Linked DNA regions of Solanum lycopersicum. The protein of the gene in region 1 binds, or shares a complex with, the protein of each later gene. Links are inferred from orthologs where the notes say so. Each region holds a gene or a part of one and is shown in the gene's direction. Other genes may lie near its edges. The genes, in order: general transcription and DNA repair factor IIH subunit TFB2, general transcription and DNA repair factor IIH subunit TFB4 and general transcription factor IIH subunit 2.

The links.
Region 2: general transcription and DNA repair factor IIH subunit TFB2 (region 1) and general transcription and DNA repair factor IIH subunit TFB4 share a complex: the UniProt entries of both Arabidopsis thaliana proteins name them as parts of the 7-subunit TFIIH core complex. The link is inferred for Solanum lycopersicum from reciprocal best matches to the Arabidopsis thaliana genes AT4G17020 and AT1G18340.
Region 3: general transcription and DNA repair factor IIH subunit TFB2 (region 1) and general transcription factor IIH subunit 2 share a complex: the UniProt entries of both Arabidopsis thaliana proteins name them as parts of the 7-subunit TFIIH core complex. The link is inferred for Solanum lycopersicum from reciprocal best matches to the Arabidopsis thaliana genes AT4G17020 and GTF2H2.

What each region holds. Positions count from the first base shown.
Region 1 is NC_090801.1:59,306,459-59,317,171, forward strand, and holds general transcription and DNA repair factor IIH subunit TFB2, read left to right. Parts: upstream 1-1,347; 5' UTR 1,348-1,500; coding exon 1,501-1,613; intron 1,614-2,085; coding exon 2,086-2,253; intron 2,254-2,919; coding exon 2,920-2,988; intron 2,989-3,556; coding exon 3,557-3,650; intron 3,651-3,818; coding exon 3,819-3,919; intron 3,920-4,050; coding exon 4,051-4,099; intron 4,100-4,177; coding exon 4,178-4,237; intron 4,238-4,913; coding exon 4,914-4,982; intron 4,983-5,293; coding exon 5,294-5,377; intron 5,378-5,472; coding exon 5,473-5,556; intron 5,557-5,895; coding exon 5,896-5,981; exon of another isoform or gene 5,982-6,329; coding exon 6,330-6,420; intron 6,421-7,175; coding exon 7,176-7,256; intron 7,257-7,352; exon of another isoform or gene 7,353-7,369; coding exon 7,370-7,582; intron 7,583-7,677; coding exon 7,678-7,815; 3' UTR 7,816-8,033; downstream 8,034-10,713. Other genes in the region: uncharacterized protein, read left to right, coding at 122-264, 537-629; tetraspanin-19, read left to right, coding at 8,548-8,714, 8,807-8,906, 9,023-9,103, 9,449-9,553, 9,645-9,842. UniProt on the Arabidopsis thaliana protein: Component of the general transcription and DNA repair factor IIH (TFIIH) core complex, which is involved in general and transcription-coupled nucleotide excision repair (NER) of damaged DNA and, when complexed to CAK, in RNA transcription by RNA polymerase II.
Region 2 is NC_090805.1:46,428,086-46,438,598, reverse strand, and holds general transcription and DNA repair factor IIH subunit TFB4, read left to right. Parts: upstream 1-4,167; 5' UTR 4,168-4,251; coding exon 4,252-4,282; intron 4,283-4,385; coding exon 4,386-4,483; intron 4,484-4,592; coding exon 4,593-4,836; intron 4,837-5,190; coding exon 5,191-5,237; intron 5,238-5,967; coding exon 5,968-6,005; intron 6,006-6,080; coding exon 6,081-6,126; intron 6,127-6,287; coding exon 6,288-6,341; intron 6,342-6,445; coding exon 6,446-6,514; intron 6,515-7,347; coding exon 7,348-7,424; intron 7,425-8,154; coding exon 8,155-8,250; intron 8,251-9,160; coding exon 9,161-9,233; 3' UTR 9,234-9,528; downstream 9,529-10,513. Other genes in the region: uncharacterized protein, read right to left, coding at 536-628, 1,688-1,744, 2,504-2,590, 3,142-3,216, 3,312-3,347; CASP-like protein 4A3, read right to left, coding at 9,917-10,111. UniProt on the Arabidopsis thaliana protein: Component of the general transcription and DNA repair factor IIH (TFIIH) core complex, which is involved in general and transcription-coupled nucleotide excision repair (NER) of damaged DNA and, when complexed to CAK, in RNA transcription by RNA polymerase II.
Region 3 is NC_090803.1:54,336,555-54,346,581, reverse strand, and holds the start of general transcription factor IIH subunit 2, read left to right. Parts: upstream 1-1,095; 5' UTR 1,096-1,330; intron 1,331-2,388; exon of another isoform or gene 2,389-2,453; intron 2,454-4,719; 5' UTR 4,720-4,723; coding exon 4,724-4,984; intron 4,985-5,941; coding exon 5,942-6,403; intron 6,404-6,617; coding exon 6,618-6,990; intron 6,991-10,027. UniProt on the Arabidopsis thaliana protein: Component of the general transcription and DNA repair factor IIH (TFIIH) core complex, which is involved in general and transcription-coupled nucleotide excision repair (NER) of damaged DNA and, when complexed to CAK, in RNA transcription by RNA polymerase II.

The sequences.
Region 1 (10,713 bases):
GAACAAAGGAACATTCAAATTTTAAAATGATATAGGAAATCATATCGTTGTTAAGGCGTTTAATGCCTCAATGCATCTGTATTCAATTTAAGGTAGAATAGAAATGAAAAGGTATGTGCAGGTTTGGAACAATGCGATGAGATGTGCTATAAGGGTCCGGTTATGAAGGATCAACAATGGAGTGCTTGTATTGATCGCGCCCCTGGTTCTGCTACCCACTCTGAGGATTGTCATCGCGCTTGTGTAGCTGGCTGTGGTTTCAAGGTCAGTTTCTTGTATAGTACATAAAACAGGGAAAACATGCTGTACATAGTCTTAAGATCCACTCTGTTTATGAAAAATGCAATTCATGTCAATTGGTTAGAGGCGGATCTAGGATGAGTACTGTTGCAGGTTCATCTGAACCCAAACACGTAATATATTAATAAGATCACGTTCATTCTGAACCCTCACTAACTCTAGATGTTACGTTAGCCTATTACCATTTTGCTTTATTGGATGCTGTCAAATGTTTTTATTTTTATCTTACTGTGCAGTTTGATATCCCTACTGAGGAAGTAAATAAAATCCAATCAAACAGGTCTTCCAAGACTCTAGCAGAAGAGGAGCCAGCTGATAAAAACAAGTAAACTTGAAGATTTTCTTAATGCAACTAATTGTAATGGGCAAGAATAGCATCTATATATAGTTTATTCTACGAGCTAGGATTTCTACTATAGGAAACAGTTTCTCTAGTCCTCCAAAGGTACAATTGAGGTCTGTGTATATTCTATTCTAATCATACACCACTTGTGGGATTATACTGAGTATATTATTGTTGTAACTTCATTATGCAAATAGAAGTGTTAACTTTTTCTTTCTGTAATACAACAATCTAATAGAAGATAATGCTCATAAAGTTTAAATTTATGCAGTTATAAATTACAACGTAATTATGTAAGTAAATCTTTTATGAAAATATTGACGGGTAATAATACTTTATCGGAGGATAAACTACACTAATCATGTGAAAATTATTTACATAATTTATACCATCAAAAAATATTTAATTTAAAATGTTAAATCATAATGAAGAAATTAGTTACCTGGGAGATAAGTGACAACTTGCTTACAATAGGTTTGAGAAGCTTCGACATTTGGAAATTTCATAAGCATTCGAGAATTTAATTTTTATGAAAATATGATAGAGTTTCACTCGAGAAATTTGAAACTACATGACAAAATTAATTTTCGATACCAAGTAGTATTTCGCTGAACCCAAAAATGCGGTCCAATTCATATTGGGCCTTCAAAGTTTTTGGCCCAAATAGCAAGAGAAAAGAACCTTTGCTCGCCCGAGTGGGGTTCAATACATAAATCTACAGTTTCTGTAATGTTTATGAATCCGGCGATAATATGTATTAGCAGAAATTAGGGGAGAATCATCATCATTCAACAACAGCTAAAACCCTAGATTGAGAAATTGAAGTATTGAAAACCTTTATTTGATCTATAACAACAATGCCGCAAGTGAAGATCGTCGCCAGGAATTTCATGGACATGGTGGCTTCATTGCCTGTCATGAAACTCGACATGCTTTACGACAATTCCTTTATCTGTGAAGCCATTCTTAGGTATTCTAAAAATCCCCAATTTGATCGAATGTTAAGAGTTTTTCTTGCTGCACAACCAGTTATAGGATTAATTTCTGCTTGTAAAAATGGATGTAATTTCACCATTTTAGCATATAGTGATATGTACTGTGTACATTTGGATGCAAAAGTTGTTTACTTTGTCTTTAAGATTATTATTATGGAGAAATGAACTTCAAGCTATAGTCATAGATGGATGAAGTTAATCAGCAGCAAGTGCTGTGCTGACACAAGTATAAACATACACAAGCACAAATTTTTTAATGTTTGACTGTTTTTATAGAAAGTATTTGGAGTATATTTTTTTTTGTATCCATGGCAACAAGAGATTGATTAATTCACTAGTACTTAGCACTCACTGTATTCACCTCGAGCTATATCAAGGGAATTCACTTTTGGTGATACTATTTTGAAACATGTTATATTATGTGCTTAATTTGTTCATTTCTGCTAGATCGTTACCTCCCTTAGCGAAGAAGTATGTGCTGCAAATGTTGTATATAGACATACCAATTACAGCCAAGTCGATGGAGGAGTGGGTGCTTCCAGATGGATTCTCAAAGCATAAAGTTGCCATTGATAGATTGATACAGCTGAGAGTAATGACAGAAACATTTGACAGGTTATTGAGCAGATTCTTCTCTCTTGATAGCTGCTATATTTTTGTCTTGAATAACGCTGACCTATAACAACATTTGACACTTAAATTTTTATTTGGTTGTTATAAGCAAAAAAGAGATGCAAAAAATCTAATTTTTAATGTGAGAAAAGAGGATAAACTTGTTAAATTTAAAATCTCAGAAGTAATCATATTTCAGCAATTCAAAATTAAATAATGCTTGTACATTATCAATGAATTTTGACCCTTACAAGATGGAGTTTTTATCTCTAATGGAATACAAAGTCACTGCCTGTTGTTAAATTTCCTCCTCAACCGGAGGCGGATGCTATATAGAGGTCTGTATTTACTTTTCCCGCTTGATCCTATCTGGTTGTCATGTTTTTCACTTAGCACTTTAAATACACATGAGCAAAGTTAGAACTTTGGTCAAAATAAGCAAAAGCATGATTAAAGGGAATATCTTGAATTGTTAATGCTTGATCTTTCTTTTGTTTTTTCCTTTTAAGTTTTGCTCTTTATAAGCATTATAGAAGTTTTAGGTAGTAGAAATCATGTCTCAACTATTGGAATGACGAAATCTGGTCAGGGTGATCCACAATATCTTTGCATGTTGTTATAGTCAGTTTTTGATTGTTGAACGTTGCCATTCTCTTTGATTTCTTACAGGAAAAAGGAAGCCATGTATCAACTAAACCCAAAATTTCAATTTAATCTTCAGAAGCATATAGTCTATGGGTAAGCTTTATTATCTTATTTATGTTATTTTCTCTGTAGGTGTTAATGATCACTACTGGCCAGCCCTCTCTGAGATGGGTGATCTAAAAATGAAAGTACATGTACAGTTAGTAGAAGTACTAGTCAATGACATTTGGCGTCTAGACACCAGATTCATGGCCTATTAATCCCCGTCTCGAAGGAACGATTTCTTTACTCATTTGCATATTTGAATAAAGTTGGCCCAAATTGAGTTGAGTTAATATAGAGAATTGATGTAGGTGACTGCAACTAGTTTGGGATTGATCGATTGAGGCATAATTATTATTATTGTTGTTGTAGGTATATTCACACTTGTGTATATGTTCCATTTTATTCATCCTATATGACTTCTTGATTTGTCTTGCTAAATTTCTAATTGGGCTCAAGTTCAGAATTTGACCCTGATACATTTGACCCTCAGTTGACCTATAAGATGCTAAACTTGATACAGTAACTTGTTGTGGTAATACTTCTACATGATGCTGAAATATCTGTCTTAACCTTGGTCTTGTAATTGCACTATAATATGTGATTTCAATTACTGTAGTGGAGTCTTACCAAGGGAACCAATGCCTTCTAATATCACTGTGAGGCTTCCTAGCTTGGAGGAGTTAGAGGCATATGCTGTCGAACAATGGGAGGTATGACTTGCATTTTGTTAGTAGTTCTTATCCGTTGATTTTCCAGGAGCGTTCAGAATGTGTAATAATATGTTGTGAGACAATCTGCTTTTCTTTCGGTCTTGATCAAACTGCAGCCTGAATATAATTTTGGCAACTATTTTTATGACTTGCAACTGTCGCAACCAGTGCTTTCTGCTGAACCTTATAAGCTCCAGTGAAGCTGGAAAGACCACAAACATAAGCTCTTCGATGATGAAAATCTTCCAGCGTGGACTTTTAAGTCAGAGGTACGTCCACCTCAGTGTTATGGATATATATTTACTCGCAGAAAACATATGTATAGTTCTTTGTCCTCATGTGTATTTATGATTTTGTAATAATCGATATAATCTCCATGAGTTCATGCCTTCTTAAGCAGAGACGATAGAGAACCTCCAAGGTTGACTGAAAGTGGGTTCCAATTCTTGGTACGATTTACTGAATTATCTGAATCAATTAGTGTTCTTTTTTGTTGGGAAATTGTATTGACTGGTGGCATATTACAGCTAATGGACACAAATGCACAGCTTTGGTACATCATCAGGGAGTACATAACAAATGCTGAGGTATTGCTGACCACCTCCTTCTCTCCCTGCATGTGTGTGTATGTGTGTCTCAAGCTCCATTGGTTCATTGGGTGGTGTTGTAATTCAGTTACATTTGACATTTGCTTATCCCTCACTTTTGCGGCTAGTCTTCTGATAGACTTTGGAGATAGGTAGGGAGGAATTTTCAGAGATGCAGCTTCGGCCTTTGTAGAGCTTGCTATAATTATATCACCTACTCTGCCTCTCTAAGGTCGTCAAAGCGAAAGCATTCCCAAGCCTGAATAGAGGAAGAGAGTTGAGGGAAACCGGTGGCGAATGTAGCAATAGTCAAACTATTTTGAATACTGAAAAAATGTGCAGATTGGATACAGGCGTTTCATACAAGATCATATAGCTAACCCCAATTAGTTTGGGGATTGGAACCTAGTTGAGTTGAGCTTATTAGTTCCACCTTAGATTTTATCGTTGCTGATAACATATTTTAGGCACTTTTTCCTTGTTTCCTTACCTCTTTAAATTAGTTAATACAAGCAAGAATCAAGAAGATATTCTTTCTTTGATTTAAGATTTTGGTTGAGAAGATATTGTGCCTATGACCATTATTTGGATTGTCTAGTATGGACTTCTATTTGTATAACTTTTGGACAATTTAATGATATTAAATGATTACTCTGTATTTTTCATATTAATGCAGGAGCGAGGAGTGGATTCAGCAGATCTTATTGCATTTCTTTTGGAGCTAAGCTTTCATGTTACTGGCAAGGTATTATTAGACAGTTCTAGAGCTTCTTGAATTAAGTTTGTCCTGGAGCTGTAGTAATGATACCATCTTTTGAACTCTAAATGCTTGAATTTTAGTTAGTTCTGGTTCTGGAGCACTCAGATGTTTGGTTGAAAAGTGGTGAATTTGTTTTTGCAGAAAGTTTTGTACTTTGACTTTAAAAAACAATATTTGAAAAACTGAAAAATATTGTGACGAAGTCTTTCAACCATTTTCCCAACCACACAGTTGTAATCTTCATTTCTTCAGTATGCTCAAGTTTCGTATGTTTGTTGAATTTTCTTCTGATATAGGCATACAATACAAACACAATAACTGATCTCCAGAGAAGTATAATTAAGGACCTTTCAGATTTGGGATTGGTCAAGCTGCAGCAGGTGAATACTCCTTGTTGCCCCATCAATGAGCTCACGAGAGTGAAAAGATTTGTCTTTTTTATTATGTTCTTAATTACCCATTTGATGCTGTTTAGGGAAGGAAAGAGAGTTGGTTTATTCCGACCAAACTGGCGACCAACCTGTCAATTAGCTTAGCGGATACAACTACTAGGAAACAGGTATGCTGCACTCGCAAGTGTTCCCTAGAGTAGTTGGGTCTAGTTACACAGAAATCCAATTTATTTATTTGTTTTCTATCTTTGTTCTTACAGTTTTCTTATAAAGCAAGTGTGTACAGAAATTTTTGAATTTTATGCTTCCTGTCATCCAGATTTTTTTTGATAATGAAAAAAAATAAATAAAAAAATCTGGATGACAGGAAGCATAAAATTCTAAATTTCTGTATACACTTGCTTTATAAGAAAACCGTAAGAATAAAGATAGCTTAGTTTGAAACGAGTTCAATGATACCTTACTGACTGCAAATGCATCTTTGCCTTCCCACCCACACTCATCAGGGTTTTATCGTTATTGAAACAAACTTCAGACTGTATGCATATTCAACATCAAAATTGCACTGTGAGATCCTACGCCTTTTTGCAAGGTACCAAACGATTTGCTGCTGCTGCTTGTGTTTTTTTCTGTAGTTTGGTTGAGAAAAGAGATCATATGGAAAGAACAGGTGCTAACTCTCCTCTTGATAGCATTACCTGGACTCTGTTGCTACTTTTTGTTGGAATTAATACCATCAAATCTGACACTAGTCTGGTGCTTGCCAAGAAATGCATTACTTGTATCATTTGCGAGTTGAGATAAGAACTTGTCCAATTATTCATGGGTTATGCCTAATACTCTGTGTTTGGCTGTTGAGTGTATATTTTCTAGTAGTAGATTTCTTTCATCAACTTTTGTGGTTAGATTTCTAAGTAACAAATTTTAGCTGCAAATACAGGGTGGAATACCAGCTTCCAAATCTCATTGTTGGTGCTATTAATAAAGAGAGTTTATATAAAGCTTTTCAAAACGGCATTACTTCTGAGCAGGCAAGTTTCAGCTGCTATTTATTTATTGACCAGCATTGTCTTGTATCAGAGACAACTAACTAAAAAACTATCTAATAAAGCAACTGTATATGGAGTGCTTGCTATATTTGTTGAAGATTTTTTTTTTGATGATGTGTGGAATGCTTATATTTGTATAAAAGCAAAACGTTGACAAAGATTGATGATGTGGGACATTTTTGTTGGAAGTTCTTAGTAATTCTTCATCAGCTACTTATTGTGGTCTAATTGATAGATGTTGATTAATTGCACTCCTCTCAGAAAAGGTCCTTCTATAGTTTTGTTTCTGGTCCTTTAATCTACTTATCATGTTTAATAGTAGTTACACACCTTTCAAAATTAGCACACCCTTGAATGCATTAATGGAATTAGTGAGCCTATTGTGCTTCTGGTGCCAAAGTTCTTACTGCAGTACCGCACTTAAATATTTTGTATGAAGTAGAAAGAGTTAAATATGACATAATGGAAACTGTTGCTTGAGTTGTCTGGACTGGTTATATTTGAGTTCCAGTTATCCTATCCTTAGTTGTCAAAATACATTGACTTAGATGTCATGGTCCCCCCAAAAAGGAACAATCTGTCATATGGTGATTCGTCAGTCAAAAATGTTTCAAGTGATACTATGAAGTATTCTGTACGGATGTAATTATACAACACAAATGAGCAGCTACTCTACAATTTATTTTGCTTGTAGTTAAGTTTTGACTGCTGTTGTGATTTGAATGCATGGATTGCAGATAGTTTCTTTCCTTCAGCAGAATGCACATCCTAGGGTTGCCGAGAGAATACCATCTGTGCCGGAGAATGTTACTGATCAGGTTCCTTCACTATTTCTCATAGCGTTGAAACTGAAAGATAGCTTTAGAAACCAAATATTACTCTAACTGCACCACATTTAATTGACACTCCTGTAGAATTTGTTCTTGACTAGGCACACGTTGCCAAAATTATGGCGGACCAAAGTCTATTCAAACAATCCATTGACAGAGATATAACTTATGAAAAGATTTATTGGAAAATAAGTTCTTGTCCAACTAACTTATTCAACTGCCACTTTCTCATGCCACAGATTAGATTGTGGGAATCTGATCTGAATCGGGTTGAGATGACGCCAGCCCACTTCTACGATGAATTCCCTTCTAAAGTGGGTATCAAGCACCATGTTATTTGCATTGCAACCTAAACTTCGCTTTTTAATATGTTTGTTTGCGTAACATGATTGTGGTTGCTTACTTTTAGGATGTCTTTGAGGCTGCCTGTGATTTTGCCAGAGAATATGGAGGATTACTGTGGGAGGACTCTAAGCGCATGCGTCTCGTTGTTAAAGCTGATATTTTAGCCGAGATGAAGGAATTTCTTCGTCGTCAAAAGCAATAACTCTTCTTTGCATACTGTCTTCATTTAAATGAAGGGTTTCATCAGTTATGTCCATCTATATATTTATTCCCAACTTAACTTGTACATGAATTTTGTTGTGGGTGTATTGTATTTCATTGTGCTTCGATTTCCTTCTTTCGACACCTTGTGATGTTGTACTAATAATGGGACTACAAATCATCGTCAAAACTATTGATAGCCTAAAAGAGCCTTGTCAATCTGTTTGGGTTTACACAAACATAATATTATGTATTGCTATGACTATGATCTTTTATCTTTTCCAACTAGTTGTGGATATAAACATAATATCTACATAGAATCATTTTGTCAATTATACATCCCCATCTCTACTTTAAAATCTTGGGATGTTGTTATCATGAAAAATTTAAATTAGATTGTTCTTATCCTTGACCACATCTTTGGACAAAGATCCATTTTGGGTTTATATAAGCAAATCAAGCAACTCATAATTCAGTAGGTCCTCCAAAAATAAGCTCTTTCTTGGAAATTTCTTCTGAGCCTATCTGGGGAAATTTTTGCATATCTAGGCATGTCACCATCACTATTATTTCTTTTAAAAAAATCAACAATCTAAACAGTTATAAATCACATCAATATGCTTTCTAATGAACTCTTCCAAGCACCCTTAAAAACATAACAACAATTTACCTAGCAAGTGCTCTTCTATTTCCCCTCCTAAGTGAATGAAACAGCTCCTGTTTAAAATTCAAGATGGTAAAACTTGTAAAGAGTTACCTGCGATTATCCCTCAAGATCACAAACATAACAATAGGATTTATGGGCATTGCAATGCTCATCTATGGTGTATGGATGATCAGAGTTTGGCAGCGCGATGCTGCCAACTCACCCTCATCCCCTGATTATGCTCAATTTCCTTGGTGAGTTCGGTTATCTAACTTTCTTTTTTATTTTACAAATACAGTATAATTTTCCAACGAAGCTAACACTCACAGTGGCGAAACAATGACAGGTTTATCCATGCATTTCTTGGTGTTGGCACTGCTTTGTGTGCAATCACTTTCCTTGGTCATGTTGCAGCAAGCACTGCCAATTCCTATTGCCTCTCATTTGTATCCTTTTTTCTTTATATTTCTCATATATAAAATAGTCTTTGAGTAAATTTATTTTTGGTCCTAAATGAAACTGCATTGAGAGAAACAAAAATGGACCTTAACTATACTTATAGTATATGTTCTTCATATTTGTGCTTCTTTTAGCAGAGATTGCAATTACAGCTGATGTTTTCTTGAACTCTGATTGGGAGAAGGTATGCATCTTACATCTAAGTTATCTTTTATCATATTGTTATATTCAAAGTTATCTCTCTGTATTCTATTGATCAAGACATCAACAAAACAACCTTGTGTTGTAAAAATGGGAAAAATATAATTGAAGAAGAAATGACTTTGAGGCGCGAAAGAATAGACTTTTCTTAAAGAGATATTGCTTCATGTTCTTTCACGAACAGATGTTTTTGTTCAATTTAAAACCTCTAATATGTTACAGACTATATAACAATACCACCAACACATGTACCGGATAACTCTCTGTCCTGCCAAAGCTTGGACAATTGCTTCTCTCCAATGTTCTCACTGTGTTTTACCTGAATCAGGATTTGCCTGAAGATCCATCAGGAAGGTTTGATGATTTCAAGGATTTTGTGGACTCGAATAGCGATGTCTGCCAATGGATTACCCTGCTTTGTGTTCTAACACAGGTAAGAAATAAAAGCAACCCCACCTCCAAGAACTTCACTATGTTTTACTTGGCTCAAATTAGTTACATGATTCTTAATGCATAATAAGCAGGGATGTTGTATCTTATTGGCTACAATTCTAAGAACTCTTGGGCAAGTTAAGGAAAATAGTCATGAGTATGAAGGTGAATATGCAGAACCATCAGCTCCACTTCTTCGCCCTCCGCAACTGCCTCCAAATCCTCTGTATCCATATGTTATTGGTGAACCAGTTCATATTGAACCACATTCTGCCTACAAGAATGTTTGAGTTTTGGAAGACAATTGGTTTGATCCCTTTGTAAAACTATGAAATCTTGAAACCTCTCTTTTTGGCTTATTATGTTATTGAAGTCTGCAGAAGTTGAAGTGAATGAAGTTATCCTTTATGGAAAAATATGCTATGTAGCTTCTCCAATTGCTTAAGAATGAGCTTTGTTAATCAGAAACAGATGAGACCATTTTATGTATAATTAAGATTGTGAGTTTTGCAACTTTTATGTTTTTGAGTGGTATCATTTTTGTTTATTACAATGAACAATGATATTACATTGTTTATGCATGTTGAACTTCTTTGGACTTCTTCATATATTAAACTCTCCTAATGAAAATCCTTTGCGAACATTTTCATTTTCTGAACCATTTCTTATCCTAAGTAAAAATTTAACAGCACTATCTTACTTCAAATGCTTTGCAGAAAAAGGGAAAATTACAGATTGGAAACTAAATACATCATATATTATACATTCTTATAAATAGCAACCATACAACTCTGCACTTGAGAAAGCTCAAATGCTGGTATTCATGGCATACTTGAAGATCAGAAAACAAACAACAATTGTGTTTTCAAGAAGTAAAACTGGAACTGTACAGGCATGTACAAATTAGGAGATGCAATTAAAAAGCTCCATTTTTTTTTGGCTAATCTTATCTAACTTAGCTTCAACCCCTGCACCACAATGACTCGGTCGGGTTCTTCTAAATCAGGAAAGGTGATAAAGTAATCCACCTGCATTTCTAAATCTAGCGAGACCAATTACTTTATCTTTAGTATGATTCAATCCCCCAATGGAAGCATTGATCATCTACCTTATATGAGTATCATAGTGATCAAAAACATTATCTGGCACGATCAAGGGTAG
Region 2 (10,513 bases), on another chromosome or scaffold:
ATACTAATGAACTTGCAATTTGAGGCCAGTTTCTAAGAGGCACAAGCACTGACTTATGAGCCAAGTAGTTGAGGAATTTGCTTGCACATGAAGGAAAGAACTGCTCCCAGAGGTATTTATCACAATTTCTCCCCTTAAATTCTGAATCTTATTTTACAAAAAGAAGGGGGGGAGGGGGTAAATTAAATTGCTATCAACAAACTAATATGATATCTTCTAATTGAAGAGGGCACATCAAGCAATTCTCGAACAAGCAACCAGCAATTAATAAAATTAAACTTCTCAATTAGAGGAGAGGAGAGTTTGCCCCATTTACATGGAGTCTTCCAATACATCTATCTCCATTTGAGTTAAATAATAAAGCTGTCACTCAATTTCAAATGATCAAGATTCATAGAGTAAAAATTTATAATCAGATAAAAATTGCAAAACAATATCTTCATTTTGGTACAAGTATTTTCTATCATAATGAAACATAAGATGAGAAAAGAACAAAGAATATGAGCTCAAATATCATGAAACTTAGGATTATCACCTCAAATTTGGGTATGTTTCTCCTAGTCCCTCCTTCAAATGCTAGCACTGGCAAGAACGCCACCATTGGCCCTTTTATGTCCACATAAAAGCTCTGCCAGAAAACTCAAAAGTGAATTTGAAGCTCATAAGGAAAAATCATAGATCTTAATGACATAATCTGCAGTTTCAGATAAGAATCAATGAACTTTTAGATTTTATGCGTGCTACATGGACCATCATTACATTTGTGACAAATCTTGATGTGTTCATGAAAATGACAGAAAAATAGACAAACACAGGAAATCTCTCATCATAAGTACTAGAAACAGATAGAAATTTTTTGGACCAACTTTTTTACCTCAATGAATGTAATTTTGTATAATGAATGATCAACATAAGTCACCACTCGCCACCACATTAATATGAATGTCATTCTATATGGTCAATAACACATACTCTAAAAAGAACTTATTTCCCAGCAGACTTGCATCACTACCCTTCCCTTTTTACACAACTACAGCTGATATGTCCTTACCAGAGACATGGTGGTTTAGAACCTAAAACCCTACAGTTGACTTCAACCAAACTGTAACAAATGAAACTAAGTAGTCAACAACTCACATAAATCCCCTCAAATATTAGGAGCAACATATATTGGATGCTTATTATGTCTTAGATAAGTGCACCATAGATCTGATTGATCAAAAACAGGAAGCAGAAAGACACACTAAAGCAAAAGATCAGAGCAGCACGAAACTCCCAGTTAAAGCACCAATTATACTATTTTCGTATAAAGCAAATAGAAGAAGTGGATAGTTTGACAGCATCAAAGGAAACTCATCAAAAGATGATGAGATTAATAAGTTAAGGTCGTTATATATCAAAAAAGGAATATCAGCATCTTGGCTTTGACTTTTAAACTCATTAAAAAGAAAAGGATAGTGAGATACTGAAAAAATTTAGTTCTTAAATGCATAACATACTCAATTACTTAAAAGTGCAGCTGTTAGAGAGTTCATGCTGCAGAAAGTAGAATTAAGGGCACGGCTAGTAGCAAAGTAGACATAACTATTCACCAGAAACCGAAATAAGGAGGTTATCACAATAAACAGTGGCATTGCTTATTATAAGAAGAACAAGTAACAGTTTTGAAATACTGAAGAATGCTTACATCTGCTCTTTTGTCCACCACAATTCCAAGGACAGCATCCCCCACGGTAGGTATATACTGTAAAGAAATAACAGCGGATCAGCAAATCAAAGAAAGTTCAATTTGATATTCTTTAAAGAAAAAAGTTCAACACTTCAATTCAACCAGAAGAGACTATCCTAATTTTTATCACCGAACAAGGTTATTTCTAAAATAGTTGTATCGCAGGGTTAAATCTAGGAATTGAGTAGTCACTGATGGAATCATTAGTACTTGGCTCCTATTTGATAAGGTAGTACTATAGCTCCCTTGTTAGTCCATATTTCAAAACAATACATTTAACCTTGTAATTTCATACTTTTTTCCCTTTATAAGTTTTTTGCCGAGTTAACTAAGCAAAAGAAAAAACATAAAGGACCTCTGCAACTCTGAATTGGATATCTTCCTTTAACTCTCTAATATAGTAGCATTAACTCACTTGTGCAATAGTTGAGGACATATAAAGTTTGCAGATCCACCATAACGCACATTGGCTCATTCATTCTAGCAGTGAATCAAAATTTCAACCTAAACAGTGAATACATGCTGCTTTATTTAATTTCATATACATTCCCTTAGAGTTTCACTGTGAGAAAATCCAAAGTGCAGTTTACTATCTCTGTTTCAATCATGAGAAGATGCTGAGTTAAAGAAATAGTTTCAGGTTACTTTAAACGTATTAAAATATTAGCCAACAACCTGTAAAAAGCAACAAAACTGGAATTTTCCAATAAAATCTACAAAAAAATAACAGCAGAAGTGATACTTGGATAATTCTAGAAAGATAGCACCACTCACTCTTTTGTGTGAGCTTTCAATCCAGTACTTGTTTGGCTTTGAAAATCTCAAAATACCTGCTTTGACGACAGTTACAGCATCATGATCCTGTCAAAACGGGAAAAATATGTATAGAACCTCATATATATTTATCTTGAAGGCAGTTAGAAATTATAAACTTTTGATGCATTGCCTCCTTATACTTAGAGCCACAGTAAGTATAATGCTGAATAGAGTACTATCATCCACAGAGGAAAATAACCATATACAGGTAAAGTGCAAGAAAAGCTAGCTTTGAATACATTAGCTTTAAGTCTCTTTTTGATACATATAGAATGAGAGAAAAAGAACAAATTTTTTTTTCAAAATAGCAAGAACTATGTGCCTACAAATGTTGAGTTCTTGGTGTATCAAACAAGTAAATTGTAATAATCCAAAATCAGTGAGAGAATTAATGTATTCCCTGAATGTGAGAAGGAACTTTCTTGGTGCTCTGAACAACAAAATTCCAACTCACTTACCAGAAAGAAAAAAAAAGCAAGAACAGTGTATAAAACATAAAAAGAACCTTTTTTTAAGCTAATATTTGTATATACAAGAGCCACAAACAAAAATCTATAAACCCATGAGACAGAAATCAAAGCTCTGAGAGGAAAAACCTGTTGGAGGCCGCCACCCAGTTTAATCGTTTGGTTAGTCATGCTGGAAAGATCTAAAACAACATCACCAGGAACCTAATCAAAACCAAAAATACAATCTTTTTTGCATCAAACAATTTATACACTATAATCTGGCACAAGAAATCGAAAAAAAAAAAGTTTGTACTTACTACTGGTTTATCAATGAAGCAAGGTTTCGAACCCATTGTATTGTGTTTTTCTTGATTGAACAGAGTGTTTGTGTAAAGTCTTGGGGTTTATGTCTCAACAATGTTAAAGATTGCTAACCTAGCACCCCTTTGTTATCAACATAAATAGTTTTTATACAAAGTTATATTTTTTAAAAAATAAGGAACGAAGAAACTTCTAATTTGGGTTAGAGGAAAATAAAAAAAAATTATATTTTTTACGCAAATTATATAATGTCAATAGCTAATTATATTTCATTCTTACTATATTCAAATTACTAAAATTCCCTAAGTATAGTGGAATCCGAATACATTCCAAAGCATTTCGATACATCGTATCTATGTTTCAGATATGTTGCATCTCGATTATCTGATACATTGCTCACATCCTCATATATCACGCAAAGTGATTTATTCGACTAGTTATAATTTTTTCAAATAGTAAAAGTTTTAAATAATGTGATAAAATAAGTTGTGTATTTAATTTTCCTAAAAATAATAAGTACTCCTAGGTAGGGAAAATTAAAATAGAGAATTAAAAATAAAGGGATTTTTTTTTAAAAAAATAAAAATAATAATTTGGATTTTAGGGGAAAATTAAAATAAGAAATAATAAAGTAAAAAGTTTGGGTTTAGGGAAAATTAAAATAATATGTAAAAAAAATTGACAGCTGTGGGATTTGAACCCACGCCCTTTCGGACCAGAGCCTAAATCTGGCGCCTTAGACCACTCGGCCAAACTGTCTTTTTGTTATGATAACGATGTTTTTTTTTATTAACAATTAATTATCGAAGTCTTTTTCTGTTATGATTCAATAAAAATAAGCATTATATAAGTAAAAAGGCAAAGCCCGACAGTATATTGCATCGGCGACGCTCTCTACACCTGACCGGTGAATTAAGGTTTATTCCACCGGCGGCCATGACACCGGTTTCATCAAAGCTTTACGCAGGTCTGTCTCCTTCTCTGTCTGTGTAGCTGAAGTATGCAATAAGTACATGTTAGTGGAATAAGAGGAAAATGTGTTAAAATTAATCTCTTTTGAATACTTTCAGACGATGTGAGCCTATTGATGGTTCTGGTTGATACAAATCCCTACTTCTGGAGCTCAATGAAGAACACTGCCTTCACATTCCCTAAATTCATATCACACGTAAAGACCCCTAAAACCCAAAATTTGTTTTTTTTTTTAAAAAAAAATGAATAGTTTTGTGTTCTCCATTTGTTGAATTTTGATGCTGGAATGTATGGGGGAAATGCAGGTTCTTGCTTTCTTGAATTCGATACTTTTACTGAATCAGATGAACCAAGTAGTTGTGATTGCAACTGGGTACAATTCATGTGATTATGTATTCGATTCGTCTACCTCGTCAATGCAAAGAGCTGAGTGTTTGTTGGAGAAACTGGAGGATTTTGTGGATAAAGATGAGTCCTTGAGTCAAGAAGACTCTGTTGATGGAGTTGGGTTTTCGCTGCTTTCTGGTGCACTTTCTATGGCTTTGTGCTGTATCCTCAATCAGTTCATGTCTGTTGGTTTTTTTTATATTCTTATTGAAGTGAAATTTTAATGATTTTTATTGAGATGCAGAACCAAAATTTGGACTTGCTAGGTTTATTCTTTGAAGCTCTTAGCACTGAATTTATTGACTGTTGAAATTCTAGATACGAAATCTAATCTTTTTGGTTAGATTTTAGTTTTTCTTACTTGTGTATTCATGTTCCGTATTTGAAAATACTGAGTTTGGTTGAACCCGTAGCTATTAGCTATATCTGCCACTGGTTTTTATTTGTTATTGTGCATAGCTTTGCATTCACGTTTGTTTAGAGGAAGTGTTTCTCTTGACCTGTGTGCACTGTTAGACATTCAACGGGTATTTCGTTCAGGGCCTCTTCATCCACAACCTCGGGTAAGTTCCTTATTTTACAAGAAACTGAAAATGGGTTCTTCTGGGATTTTGAATTGATGGAATTTGTTATGAGAATTTCTACTTGTATTATTTTGTTTATCCAGTTACATTTATAGATTTTATGCTTATGTGAAATTTTCCTGGTCGATCCATTTGGGATCGTAAGCTTTAGCATTTACAAGCATAACATGTTATTATGCCAAATACCTTATCCATGGAAATATCTCTCGTCCAAGGGGAAAAAGAACTTCGAGTTTTTTCCAGTGATTTCTTTGGCCTTTTACGTTTCATGTTAATTCTGATAGTGTTTCTTAACCCCAAAGGTGCATTTAAGGGGGTTTGGTGAGGTAATACTTTAAGTTATTCTATGTTTTATGTACCTTAAACAAAACCATCAATTAAACTTCAATGTGCCCTGATTTATTTGTACTGCAATTTTTATCCAATGGTATAGTGAAACTACCATTCCCATCCTTATCAAGAAAAGAAAAAACTAGCATTCCCGATGAAATGCCATTTCTGGTCCCATTTCATTGGCAATTTCTTAATGTGATATTATCAGATATTACTACATCATTTTTGTGTTTGTTAATTTGATCATTTATCAGTAAGGTAGTTGTTAGGAAAAAAAAATCTGTCTTCTCTTGTTTTATACTTTAAAATTTGATCCGTTTTTGTTATGTTGGATATGAATATTGATGCTAAGAAAATGTGCTTGAAATTATGGCAGATATTGTGTCTGCATGGATCTCCAGATGGGCCGGGACAGTATGTTGGATCTTCACAGCTTCTACAATCTTCTCATTGTTAGGTTCTCTGCTGAAACATGTTCTTTTTTTGCAGATATGTTGCAGTCATGAATTCAATTTTCTCAGCTCAACGTTCAATGGTATATAGGATTTAACAATTCTTTCCTTCAATTTTCCTTCTTGATTAATTAGAAAGTTGTCACATGTCTTCATAAATGTAGAATTTTCAAAATTAGGGATCGGGACTTAGATTTCCATATTGTGATCCTACTCTAAGAAATGCAATGCGTTTTTATTGCAGGTACCCATTGATTCATGTGTAATAGGATCTCAGCATTCTGCTTTTCTTCAGCAGGTAGCATTTCTATACCTGAAAGTTCTGGTTGAAAATCTATTCCTTCTCAGCATGAGTTATTTTCTGGCTCACTGATCTTATGGTGCATATCTATCTGGGAACAGGCTTCTTACATAACTGGTGGTGTATATTTGAAACCCCAAGTATCAGATGGACTGTTTCAATATCTCTCTGTAAGTGTTATTAAAATTATTAATACTAAGTTGTCTCTCTTTGTCAAAAAAAATACTAAGTTGTCTCTAGCTTAGCATTTTAACTTGTCAATAGCATGGATCCAACATTGAACATCTACGGTTGTCTCCAGTGCTGCCTTCAGACATTAGTTTCTATCTGATGTGTAAGCATGTTGAACAAGTCACTATACTTTGATTTGTTTAGTGTATGCAATTTTTGTTTCCAAGGAGCTTACACTAAAAAGACCTTCCAAAAGTTTGACCTATTTTAAATCTGGTATTAAATATTTAATATATGTACTACTATTGTTGGTGTTGGAGATACAGTGATCAACCAAAAGGCTATGACTGAAAGTACCAATGTACTCTTTGTGGACTTAGAAAATCTTCTCCAAATGTCTTCTGGACTGCCGCAGTCCGATGGCTTCTCCTTTTGCCCTCTATAGTGAACTTCTCATGCTTTGTCTCTGTGAGTAGGAGATAATAATATCATGAATGAAGATGTGATTGTTGTATGACCTTATTTTCAACATTTCGTTCACGTTTCATGGAATGCAATAGACCCATTGCTAAAACCACTTCCACGACTAGAATACAGTATCTACACCAGAAGTTATATTGAAATTGATTTCTTATTCAAGATGTTCTTTCACATCAACAAGTTGCATATTTCTGTCTGATGCGGTTGGTGTACTGTGCTTTCATTCACCTGGTGTGATCTGTAAGATGGTTAAATGCCTTGTTTTATTTTTGAGATGTTTTATTTGTAGAATGTCTTGTCTTGAGATCTAATTTTCCGTTTGAAAATACTGACAAGACTGTAATAAATACAGACAGTTTTTGCGACTGATTTACATTCTCGGAGCTTCTTGCAACTTCCCAGACCTGTTGGAGTTGACTTCCGTGCATCGTAAGTGATTAGTGTGTCTATTATTCAAGTTATGTCACATATGATGAACTGGTAATATAATATTTGGTATGTATCCTCACTAATATTTTATGCACTCTTTTTGATGGTAGTATTCAACTTTTTGTATTGTCAATGTTCAAGTTCGTTGTGTTAGCTTATCTCATTCTTCTTGAATCGTCTCAAATTACCTACGAAGCTTAAGTGATTTATCCATCTAGCTCAATGTCATTTAAGAATGGTTGTACCACCTTTTCTCTTGCATTGTGAAAGCTCTTTCCTATTATACCTTTTTTTACTTCAATTAGACAAAAGCTTTCATCATCCACTCGTATTTTTGGCAGACAGAAATTCTCCTTGGATCTTCTTATTTGAGGTTGTTGTATCATCTGTTAATTTTGTCTTAACCATATCTTTCCCAACTCCCAGCTTTGAGTCATTACGAGTGTTACGAACTTGCAACTAACTTTTGAGAGTGCAGCTTTTGATAGGATACTTATCCTGAAAAAAGAAAACAATGTTTATCAAGGAGACCTATTCTCTACTAATAGCAAAAGTAGAGTATTTATTGAATTTCCTCCTATCTGGACTCAAATAAATCTGTGCTCCAATTTCCAGTCTATTCTTACAAATTCTTGGATTTAGCCCCCAATTAGTATTGGGTACTCTTCACCCCTTTACATTCCATTAAGTATAGCTGCTCATCTGATTATGTTGTGCGACTAATTTTCAGGTGCTTTTGCCATAAAAACACGATTGACATGGGTTTCATATGCTCTGTTTGTTTATCAATATTCTGCAAGCATCACAAGAAATGCTCAACTTGCGGGTGAGTATTCATTATAAACTTATTGAAGTGTCTCATTGATGAACTTCTCTTTTTTTCATTAATTATGCTGCATTAAGAATAATGTTCCGTCCAAAGAGTTCACATGAACTTGTGATCATGTCAATGTTACTGTCAGTACTGGTTACTTTTTGATCAGTTAGGAGTTCTATTGCTGTACACACAAGGAGTTGAGGTATTCTAATGAACAGCACTCTTATATTCTAATAGGGAGAGTTGCCATGATTTACATGCCCTAGCTTCATTACATCAAGGTTTTAACACTAACGCTAAAAGATAAATACATATTTTCAATCTATGTACACTTATGTTTTCATTCAAAATCTCTAGCCTTCTCACCTTCTAGACCGCCCACCAAATACGAGAAGGGAACTAGAAGTATTGGTTATTGGTTATAGTTTCATATTATTTACAAGGACAAGGGTGGCATGGACATAATAATGTGTATGCTAGTTATGTGATTTTCACTTATTTGTTTTGCGACATAATATCTGCTAGTTTTCTGGAAAGGTTGAACTCTGCACAGCAATTATAGGGATAATAGGTGCAGTTAAAAGGTCCTATTGAAAAACATAGAAGCTGAGGCAATGTTACCTACCTTGCACTATGTTAACTATCTGAATTTCTTGAGAGAAGATACATGAACATCACTCACCTAGTAAGTGCTAATGGATAACTTGTCATTACATTTTAAGGATTCTTTTCTTGTTTCCTGAGAACATTTCAGACAAAAACCGAAGACACAGGAAAAAGGGTTGCTTGATTCCATTTTAATATTGTAGAAGTTTATCTGTAGTAGCATCCTAACTGTTTTTCAACCACTCACTCCGCTGATAACTCAATTCATTGAGTTTGGGTATCCTAATTTTTAAGTTCATGCCATAAAATGCAGATCAAATTTTGGGGAGGCACGAAAGCAGGATCCCTCAGCCTCGGATCAGAGGAGGACTTCATATGGTAGTTGAATAGATAATCCTAAAGCCTATTTAACACCTCAGGCCATTGCCACTACTGTGTTTCAATAGATTTCTTATGATATGAACTTCCAGATGGTTATATTAAAGACGAGTCCAAACTGGACTAATGATACTAGACTATGTTTCAGCAGCAGGAAGAGGAAATTAAGGAAAGAGGGAGCTTGACCTTTTTCCAGTGTCAAGAATCTCCTTCTCTAGGTGAAGGAATACATAGGATGATTCTAATGAACTTGTCTGTATTTTATGAACTTCCAATATAAAAATGTTATTGTCCAAGTGAAAATTTGAGTAGAATTCCAAAACAAGTTAAAAGGTACAAACTGCAAATACATCAAACTGTTACCTGAACTCAAGATTTGATTATGTCTCTTAATGAAAATGTTTCACATTCACACTGTTCAATACATCATATAGATTTAACATATACCATATCCATAAGAATATATGCATATTTGACGTTATTTTTTTCACGTACTCTACAATACAATTTGCTCAACCGGATTTGTATACTTTATTCCTCTGCAGTAGGAGTGGGGAAAAAAAGAGATTATTATACAGCTAAATCTATTTACTACATCTGTACAACTTCTGATCCACTAGGCATAAATATTTCTTGCAGTAATTTCTCAAAATTACACAATGGATGAATATAGTTGTAACTCATTTCAAGATCACGAGGAACTACGGTTGCAGAGGCTATAACCAGATATGATAGAGCTGAAGGCAAAAGCAATGAAAGCCAGGAAAGACATCGCGATTGATGCACTTGCCATTTCTGTGAATGCATCTTTTCCCCAATTTGTTGCCCAGTCGTCTACCCTCGTTGCAGAAGAAGATGATGCAGACATAATAAGATATGCCAGTATCTGCACAGGTACGAGAACAAAAGACTATCATCAGAGCATATATACACACAACAGTAGCAGGACTAATAAAGCTAGCTAGATAACCAGCACAATAACAATAAACTAAACTGACCCAGAAGTTTTCAACTGGCTAAATAGAAACTATACACTTGAGAAGCTTCGAGTAAATGTCATGAACACTGCAACATACCACAACATCTTAGGGTCCATACACACTACATACTAGGGCCAATGTACGCTTTGATAATTTTGGCAATTGAAGTGAAATTTCATTCTCAAATATCACTCATCATCTTAGTTCCATGAAAAGTATCTAGTACCTTCCTAATGATGAATTCATCCATAAGTTATTCAGCCCCGAATTCTTGCTCTCCAAGTGCTGAACCCTCTTTACGAGAGGGT
Region 3 (10,027 bases), on another chromosome or scaffold:
CCAAAATCAAAATACAGAAATGAACAACCAAAAGAGTTGGTCGTCTTTGAGCTTGAACTTCCATGGAGGATGAAGAGAAGGTGCTGCCTTGGAGTGAAATCCATCACATGCAGCAACCAAATTTGCATTTTGCATTTTTTAGATTCTCAAATTTGCAATTTTCTCTATGGTCCGAGAAATCGACCTCTCCATTGAAGGTAGTAGTGAGAAGAGGATAGAAGATAGTTCAAATGCCTCCAATATATAGACATAGATTGTAGTGGATCCGAATTAGGACAAATTTCATTGGAGACACTCATATAATCATGTAGAAGTGAAGAACCAACCTATAATCTATTCGAGTATAAATGCGAGATAATACTTGTAGAAACGTCATGATAACTATTTATTAATTTTATATTTATAATTAGTTGTTTAATTATTTGTACGTATAACCTTCAATGTCTTCTCTCGTTTTATGAAACAGATTATAAAACACCGTGTATCATTGTACAAAGCAAGTTCGATTAAGATTATTATGTTCGATCTTGAATGGTTGTTAAGTGTAGTGACCATATCGTAGAATATGGACATGTAAAAGATAATTCTTCGTAGTGTGAAATACATTAATTATATACTCCTTGAGTAGTTTAACAAATCAAGTCTTATAGATTAGTGGTTCAGATATGAAATATGTTATCAATTAAAGAAGAGATATCGATGTTCAATTTAAGGAGATTTATATATTGATATCGATAAACTTCTATCAATCGATAAAATTAAATTTATATAATTAAAAGATATATAATTTAAATTTATAACATTAAATTTACGTTGATGTAGTTAAATTAAATTTATTATAAATATATATAATTTTAATTAATATATTCGACCTCTTAAGGTGAGTTTATATTAAAATTGATATGTTTAATTATTATTTTATTTAAATAATATCAACTTCATTATGTCCATATTTATTTGGAATAAAATGTTTATAAATATAAATAATTATTTTAAAAAAGAATGATAATCTCTAAAAAAAAAAATATCAACTTCATTATGTCCATATTTATTTGGAATAAAATGTTTATAAATATAAATAATTATTTTAAAAAAGAATGATAATCTCTAAAAAAAAAACCTTTTAAGTTTTAAGTCTCTCTTTCCCTTCTAAACCTCTCTCACGCCCACCCATACTCGACCCAACCCCGACCGGCGCTGCCTCGATCAGCAGCAGCAGGAGGTCGCGCTACCTTCCCTGACTCGATCGTCAGCAAGTCGCAGCAGCAGCAGCAAACTTCGGCAGCAGCAACAGAAAACTCTGGTAGCAGCACAAACTCCGGCAGATTAGGTAATGTAATCAAGCTCTTCTATTGTATCTTTTTATAGGGTTGGATTATATTATTAGTAGTATGTATAACTGGCGTTTGAATAAAATCAAAAAATAAGTGTCATCAATAGGTTGGGTTGGACAGATTGAAGGGGTCATTTAATTGAGTTTGGTTGTTGTTCAATGTGGATCCTTCGATTGAGTTTATACACATTAAAATTTGAACACTTTAATGTGTTCAATTGAGTTTGGTTGTTGACATGTTCTCTTTGATTTACTGTCAAGTGCCAAACTTTCCCCATAAGGATGTAGATTTTGGCAAGTTGGACAGTCAATATATTGAAAACGGTAAGAGAATGTTAAGTGCATGTTGAATTTGTGTCTAAACCAGTATGCTGTTGTTACATATTATCTATGTTTCAGTTGCTCTAATAAACTAACCAATACAACACATTCCCATATCATCATATACAATTCTACCTTCCCAATATTGGACAGATATACCAATAACATGTGTATGCCTTACAATTTGATGTCAATATTGATTTATAATACTGATTGTACTTTAGAGATCTCATATATGTACAACTATGAACTGAAAACTTGTGTTTGTGCATGGAATAAAGGAGTCTGCAAATACTTCAAGGTGTTGTAAACTCAGACTAAAGCACTGAATGGATTTGACTACATACTTCAATTGCATTAGTATTGCTTCTAGTAAAGTATAGCATCCAGTTGAATCAACTACAGTCTAAATGTAATAATCTGAAATTTGATGCAATATGAAGAGACTAAAGTTACAACTACAGTTTGGTTGTTGTTTATATACATTAAAATTTGAACATTCTTGTTGGAATTCTTGGTTTCTTAACCCCGGACACAATCATGGTAACATATACATTACAATAACTAGTGGAAAAAAGAGAGGAAGTATTGAAAATAGGAGAAACCTATTTTGAGTTATCAAGAAAAAGAAAAAACAACACAAACTTGTTTACTAACTGTCAAACGCTAATAATCACTAAAATCTCTCTATAATGACCACTAAAGAAATTTTCAATTGTTTCTTTTCGTGGTAGGCAACTAAGGAAACTCAACGTCTAAAAAAGTTGATACAAGACTATATTGCTACTTTAATTATAAGGTTTGGTGTTTCTAAATTTCTAAAGTTCAAGTACAATTGTTTTTTATGATGTGTTTGTGTCCATCTAGTGTTGATATTAAGCTTTAATTTAAGAATAATGTGTTTGTTAAGCATAAGCACTAACATTAGTTGATTCTATTTTCTTTTTTTTTTGCAAGATCAGTTTGTATCCATCTAGTGTTGATCTCAAATTTTAATTTAGGAATAATGTGTTTGTTAAGCATAAGTACCGATATGATATTTTAAATATCAAATACAAAAAAATTAAAAGATATATCAATATACAATGATATCAAAATCATGATATTAAAAATTTTGATATAGTATGATATTTTGATATATACCATACCATGTAAACTCCTAATTTGCGCCTCAAAGCATTTCTTGAACACTCAAATACTTGTCACAAAAATGCCTTTGAAAACACTGATTTAAAGAAGATACCATGAAAAATTCAATTGGTCCATAAATTCTGTAAATTCCCAAATAAGCCTTTTGACCTCAAGATCCTCTCTATTCACTCTTATGATATAGACTAGTTACAAAGAGCCCGTTCAATTGTGCAAGCACAAATTAAATATACATAACTTTATTTATCTCAATAAATTTTTATGTGAGTTTTAAATGTTATAAGTTGTTTAATTGTTGTAATTTATAATTTTTTTTATGTAATTTACAAATAATATATATAAATTTGTCTCAGTTTATGTGGTACAAGTGAAATTTAAAGAGTCAATTGATTTAAATTTCAAATTATTAATTATTATCATCATTTATAATACTATGTCTTTTGTAATTTCTAAACACATAACATACGAAAAAGAAAAATAAAACAAATTGAAAACTTTAAATATAAATCGAGAAAATCTTTATTTATAGTACAATTTTTTAATACATAACATACTAAATAAATGAAAACAAAGAAAACACACTACATATAAATAGTAGAGGAAATTCAATGAGAGTGTAAAAGTCACAACTCAAGTACATAGGGTTCATCAAGAATTGGTTCAAAACAAAGTGCGGATTCACTCAATCCCACATCAATCTCTATCTTCTAACCTCCAAGGTATTTTTCTCTAGTAAGTTTCTCCGTACCCTTGTTTTTTTTGGTTGTTAATTGCAATTACTCAAAGAACTTTGAATTGTTATCAAAATATTGAAGTTGGGGAATTAATTTTTGTTTAGTTAGAGGAATCTTATTGTAAGTATGTTTTGTTGACTTGAGAAAATCATTGGGATGGTGAAAGTTTTGACTTTTATCTAGTAGGGGAAAGAGAGTTCCGAGAATATTTCTAATTTTATGAATGCGAGAATTAATCTGTTAGTGTTTCTTTGTTTACTTGTTAGAATGAAGAGCATTTTCAAATTCCTTTTATCAACGAAAACCTCTGTCTTTTGTAGTCTCAATTGTTTTTTTTTACGTCTAGTTTCCTTGTACAAATATTATATGCATTTTCTTTATCAATGAAGCTTCCTCTCTTCATTTTTCCAAATCGTATTTCTACATTAACACCTAGCTTCCTAGCATTAATTTTTACTTGTGTCACTTAGATTAATACAACTACTTGAATCTTTAATCATCTACATCAGTTAAAATTATCTAGCTTAAGCACTTAAATCCCACCTAGTTTGAATTTGTAGGGAACCTAGTTGTGAACCTTGTATGATGCCTATTACTTTTCTTTTGAGGTGATTTGAACTCTTAATGATCTCAGGTTGTGGAGACTAGTAAATTGAATTATTTGCAATTAGTTGTAGTAATAGGTTCCCTAATGCGCAAGAGGGGTGTTGGAATGAAGTGGATTGAGAACCCTAAGGTCGTTGCTTCAAATCCCAGTAGAGACAAAAAATAAGGTGATTTCATCCCATTTGTGGACGTTACCTAGTACCTCTTGGTAAGAGGTACATGTATCCCATGGAATTAATTGGCCCGGACACCACAATTATATTAAAAAAATTAGGGTGTTCTAACACACCTTAACCCAGTAGGTGATAACTCTTCTCTTTAGCTCATTAAAAGAGTTGTCACATGTTGAAGCCCGCTTTTGCGAGAAAATGGGGCGTGACACACTTAGGGGGAAAAGTGAAGCATAGAAATAGCAAAGGACTAGGTACATATTGGAAAATAGTGCATGTAGTAAGGATGTGTAATGCAAGGAACTCAGAACACCTACATACAGTATCTTGTACTAATACTGAGTTTGTACAATTAGTTTCTCAAGTATCTGGTTATCTTATTAAGAGTTGGTATTATATCTAACAGGGAAATGAACACGGAAGAAAAAAGATTTAATCAAGAAGAGGAGGATGAGGAAGAAAATGGGAGAGGTCGAGAAGCATGGGAAAGAACTTATGCAGATGAAAGATCATGGGAGTCTTTACAAGAGGATGAATCAGGACTCCTTCGTCCAATTGACAACAAAACTCTATCCCATGCTCAGTATCGACGACGTCTCCGCACTGCAACTGCTGCACGAATTCAGAAGGGTTTGATTCGGTACCTCTACATTATCATTGATTTCTCCAGGGTATGTAAAATCCTGTATGATTGCAAAATAACTGCAGTATTGTAATTGGTTACTGACATTTAAAGGTTAATTTTTTTTTTTTTTTGCAAAATATGAAACAATTATTTAAGCATCTATAGTTATCTGTTTGTAAATGAGTTATCTCCGGAAGAAGTTAATCAGGTCCAATTTCCCAGACAATCTGCTGATCTTCTTCTGATGCTAGCAAATTGTTTCTTATGAAGGAACACAACAGGGTCCTTTTTAAAGAACCAGCAGCTCTTTGTTTTATGGATTTCTATTTGCATCTAGGGCTGAAGATTTAGTGATTGCAACTGGTTGATTATGCTATAAGATATTGATAAAACTAAGCAATTGGGTCGTCTTCGATCAGTTTAATGAATATTCAAGTGTATACCTACTTTCTGTTTTGATGTCACCATATTTCTTTAAACCACGTTTTGAAATTCTAAAATTGTGAATTGAGTTTATAAGACAATTATTGCATTTTGAAAATGTCCCTTAATTGGGTTGTGCTTATCACTGCATTGGACGTTTTCTTTTATCATTGACAAGGTGCTTTAACAGACAATCTTAAACATTTGCATGTAAGCCTCTGGCTGATAGTTCTCCTTTCAAGATGTCAGCATCCTTTTCCGTGACATTTTCCTAGTTTTCTTTTTTTCGCATTGCTCGAAAGTTTTTGTGAGCATTGGTTGCATCTACTTGATACTTTTCCTACATGCTTATATTCCGCAACACCCACGCCAACTTGGAAAGCTAGAAGAAAAATCAAAATGCTTTGAATACTAGAAATCTCGACATAATAGTAGAGACTTTTAGCGTTCATTTCAATTAAGTCTGGATGACTTTAAAAATGACTTTTTGAAAGAGAGAGAGAGACAGTAATGTCTCATAATATCTTGGACTTTTACATCTTTTGAGTTTGTAATTGCTCACCTGAATTTTGAATTTTAGGCAGCTGCAGAAATGGATTATAAACCAAGCCGAATGGTTGTAGTTGCTAGACAAGTGGAGGCTTATATAAGAGAATTTTTTGACCAGAATCCCCTGAGTCAAATTGGCTTGGTGATCTTGAAAGATGGAGTAGCTCATTGCTTAACAGATCTTGGTGGCAGTCCCGAGGCTCATATCAAGGCATTGATGGGTAAATTGGGGACCTCTGGTGATGCATCCCTTCAGAATGGCCTAGATCTTGTGTGTGATCTCCTAAATCAAATCCCATCGTATGGTCATCGTGAAGCCCTTATCTTGTATTCAGCTCTTAGCACATGTGATCCGGGGGATATACTGGAAACCATCCAAAAATGCAAAGCGTCCAAGATAAGGTGCTCAGTAATTGGTCTCTCTGCAGAACTCTACATATGCAAGCATCTCTGCCAAGAGACTGGTGGAATGTATTTTGTTGCATTGGATGAGGTAAGGAATTGAGCTCTGAAGTAGTGGTAATACCAGAACTTGTGAAACAAAAACTAATAGAATAAGGAAATCTTTTGCTGGAAATTTAGGATAAATTTGGTTCTAATAGCCTACTATGTAAAATGTCTCATTGAATGATATGATTAATAATATGTGGCAAGCATAATATTGTTAAAACGTTTTATGATTTGATTCGTTGTTATTGCTCTGTCAGCCTCATTTAAAAGAGTTGGTATTGGAGCATGCCCCACCTCCTCCAGCTATTGCAGAGTTCGCTGTTGCAAATTTGATTAAGATGGGGTTCCCCCAAAGAACAGCAGAGGGTGTCATTTCAATTTGTTCATGTCATAAAGAGGCTAAAGTTGGTGGTGGATACACTTGTCCGAGATGCAAAGCGCGCATATGTGAGCTGCCTACTGAGTGTTGCATTTGCGGACTGACCCTTGTATCTTCTCCACATTTGGCAAGGTCATATCACCATCTCTTCCCAATAAGGCCATTTGATGACGTTTCACCCTCAGCTCTGAAAGATTTTCACAAGTTACCAAAGAATTGCTTTGGTTGCCAACTGAGTCTTCTAAATCCTGGTAAGAGCACTCTTCTTATTTACAAAATCGAAACTATCTTGAGGTAAAATATTTATGCCGAAAAACAAGGAAATCTGTCTTATTTTTTTACTCTTCAAGATTATTCTATAAATAACCACTGAAGTGAATCTGCGATCCAATGAAGCACTTGGTCACACAATATATTTGTAAAAACGACTTGCAATTTTTTGGTTCAGAATTGAAACTTCCAGTGGTAAAAAAGATTCATGCCAAAATGATGGAATATGTCTCTCTGTTTGCTGTCAAGACTGCATCGTAAGTAACCTTTAGAGTGAATCTGGGACCCAAAGAAGCACCTGAGCTGGTATTCCTTATCAAAATAAATAAATAAAAATGGAACACCTGAGATTTGCATTTTCTTTTGAAACTGGTAACATTGTATTCCTCAGCATCCTTAATGCTGGCCATCAGTTTTGCAGATATTATCATTATCTATGTATATGCTAGGATGTTCGATAATTTGATAATTTTCAAGTAGAGTAGTTTATCAGATTAACCGTGGGTACATAACCCTGACCTGAAGCATCTGCTGTTGCTAAGGATGTCAATGAAGTTCCTTTCTTTCTTTTTTTTTTTTGAATTGGTAAAAGTTGTGTTCATCAGCATTCAGGGCTATGCTGGCCTCCTCCAAAATTTACAAAAGAGTCATGGATAGTTACAAGAAATAATATAAAATCCACTAATTGGATTTCTTCTATATTCTGTTCTTTACGCCAAAAATCTAAAGTAGTATGAAGTTCCTTTCTTTAAGTTCATAGCTGCAGAGAACTGTAGAAGGCATTTACATAATTGTTTGTCATCTGAGATATCTTGTATGTGCATTTTTCCGATTTGTAAAGAACGAACGAAAGAAAAAACACGCACTAATCGTAACTGAGCTTTTGCTGAACTGAAGCAAAAGAAATGTCTCTAGTGTTCTACAGAAGAAACAAGATGTTTAGTTTCTAGAGCTTAAATTATTCACGTCCAAGATAATAAGTCTTTTGTGTTACAATTCTGTGCTTCTCGCTGGTTGTATCTAATTATGTCCTTTGAGGACTGTTTTGAGGCAAAACTTCAAAGCAATGTTGAAATTTGGTCTTTTAAGGAAGTAGCCTGTTGAACTAAGTGTTTGTATTCAGTCAGATTTTTTTTTTTTTGCCAAATTTCTTGTAACTTGTGATGATATTAGGAAATTATTCTGTAAAATGAGTTGTTCTTGGACCAAACATTAATTGGGATCATAAAATCTGGAAAGGAAGCAATTTGTCTCTTCTTAATGCAAGTCCTAATTCATAGACAACCACTTAAAGTTCCTGCGGCTTTTCATTTAGACACCTTAATTGAAGCTGTTACGCAGCAAACACCTAGGGTGTGTTCGGTATGATGGAAAGTGTTTTCTTAGAAAATGTTTTCTAGGAAAATAAGTGGACTTCTTACTTTTTTTTAGATGAAGTAATTGATTCAATTCATATCGTCAAAAAGATGCAAAGTAGTTACAGAAGAGTGAGTGTGTTCGGTACGCAGGCAGAATTTTTTATCCGAAAAGCATTTGTATATAATTTGAACAATACTATGAGAGGTGAAGGTGAAGGGTAGGGTGTGCGGGGTGGTGGGTATGGGGGCTACAAGGGTGATGCTGAAGATGAGGTGTGTTGGTAAGTAGGAAGGACACTATCAATGTGGAATCTCACTTGTGTAACTTGTTTACATTTTCCAAACAATGTGTTCGTCCATACCGAACAAACCCCCTAATGAGTAATGTATATCTAAAATGTGCCTATTGAACACGTCATGCTTAGCTAGTAAAAAATAAAATGTGTGAGCTTACATGTGAGGATGTGGCAAATTAGCAAATTGAACAAAACCACGTGACTTTAGAATCCAACTAATAAAAAAAGGAAAAAGAAAACACTAGTTTTTGTATTCAGCCTGAATGTTTTTTTTTTCCGCCAAAGTTCTACTCACTTTTTTCTGAATCAGTCGATAGTATTAATTGAATTAGAGCAAATTTCAATAGTTCTGAAACAAGCTTCCACCACATCAGAACTTACAAAAAAGAACAGGCACTACTACTATAGCAGAAATATATACTCTACAGGAACCAATTAATAATGATGATGGAGATGTATTGCGGCCTTTTCCTGTTCATCAACTCAAACCTCATGCTAATTACACCATAGTTTAACCACCACACCAAGCAGAATCCCATATCCTTTACCAACATTAACATAACTGCTCTTCTTTTCTTGACAGCAAGACTTTTTCAGACAATTCAAAACTCAGAACCAAACCTCCCCTCAACCCCCAAAACCACAAAAAGTCCTGTTCTGTCTCTTGAGAGCATCCCGACAACATCCATAGCAGTCACCCTCTTCCTACGAGCATGCTCAGTATAAGTAACAGAATCATGAATCACATTCTCCAAGAAGATCTGAGCACCCCCTAGTCTCCTCATAGATTAGCTCACTGATACACTTCACTGCCCCTCTACATGCCAAATGCCTAATGGCTGACTTTGTGATTCAGTGAATGTTATCACAGAGGACCTTACAGTGAGTGTTAGGAATGCGTTGGAAGTTATTAATTCAAGTATTTAATTATTTATTTAGTGGCTTTATTTATTATTCTAGAATAGGGTTTATACTTCATAGTTTTATAAGGATTAGGTTAAGTTATAGTTATTAGTTTGGAATAGGATTTAGGTCTCCTACTTTAATAAGAATTAGAATTACTACTGATGTAATAAGACTCCTATTTAAAGGGGCTTTGGATGAATAAATCAGTAAGTCATAATTCAACAGAAATTTAAGAGATCAGAGTTCTCGCTTATAATGAATTCTAAGGTTTCAGTCTCCCTTTAACGAGCTGATTTATATATTGCCCTGTGAATGGATCCTTCCCTAAATATTCATAACAATGAGCCTTGCTCCTCCCTTCCCACGACCTGACATGTTCAGTCAACCTTTAGTTTCTCTGAAATTGGAAGCTTCTGAATTTTTAAGACTGTAAGGGAGACGATGATGAAGACAAATTT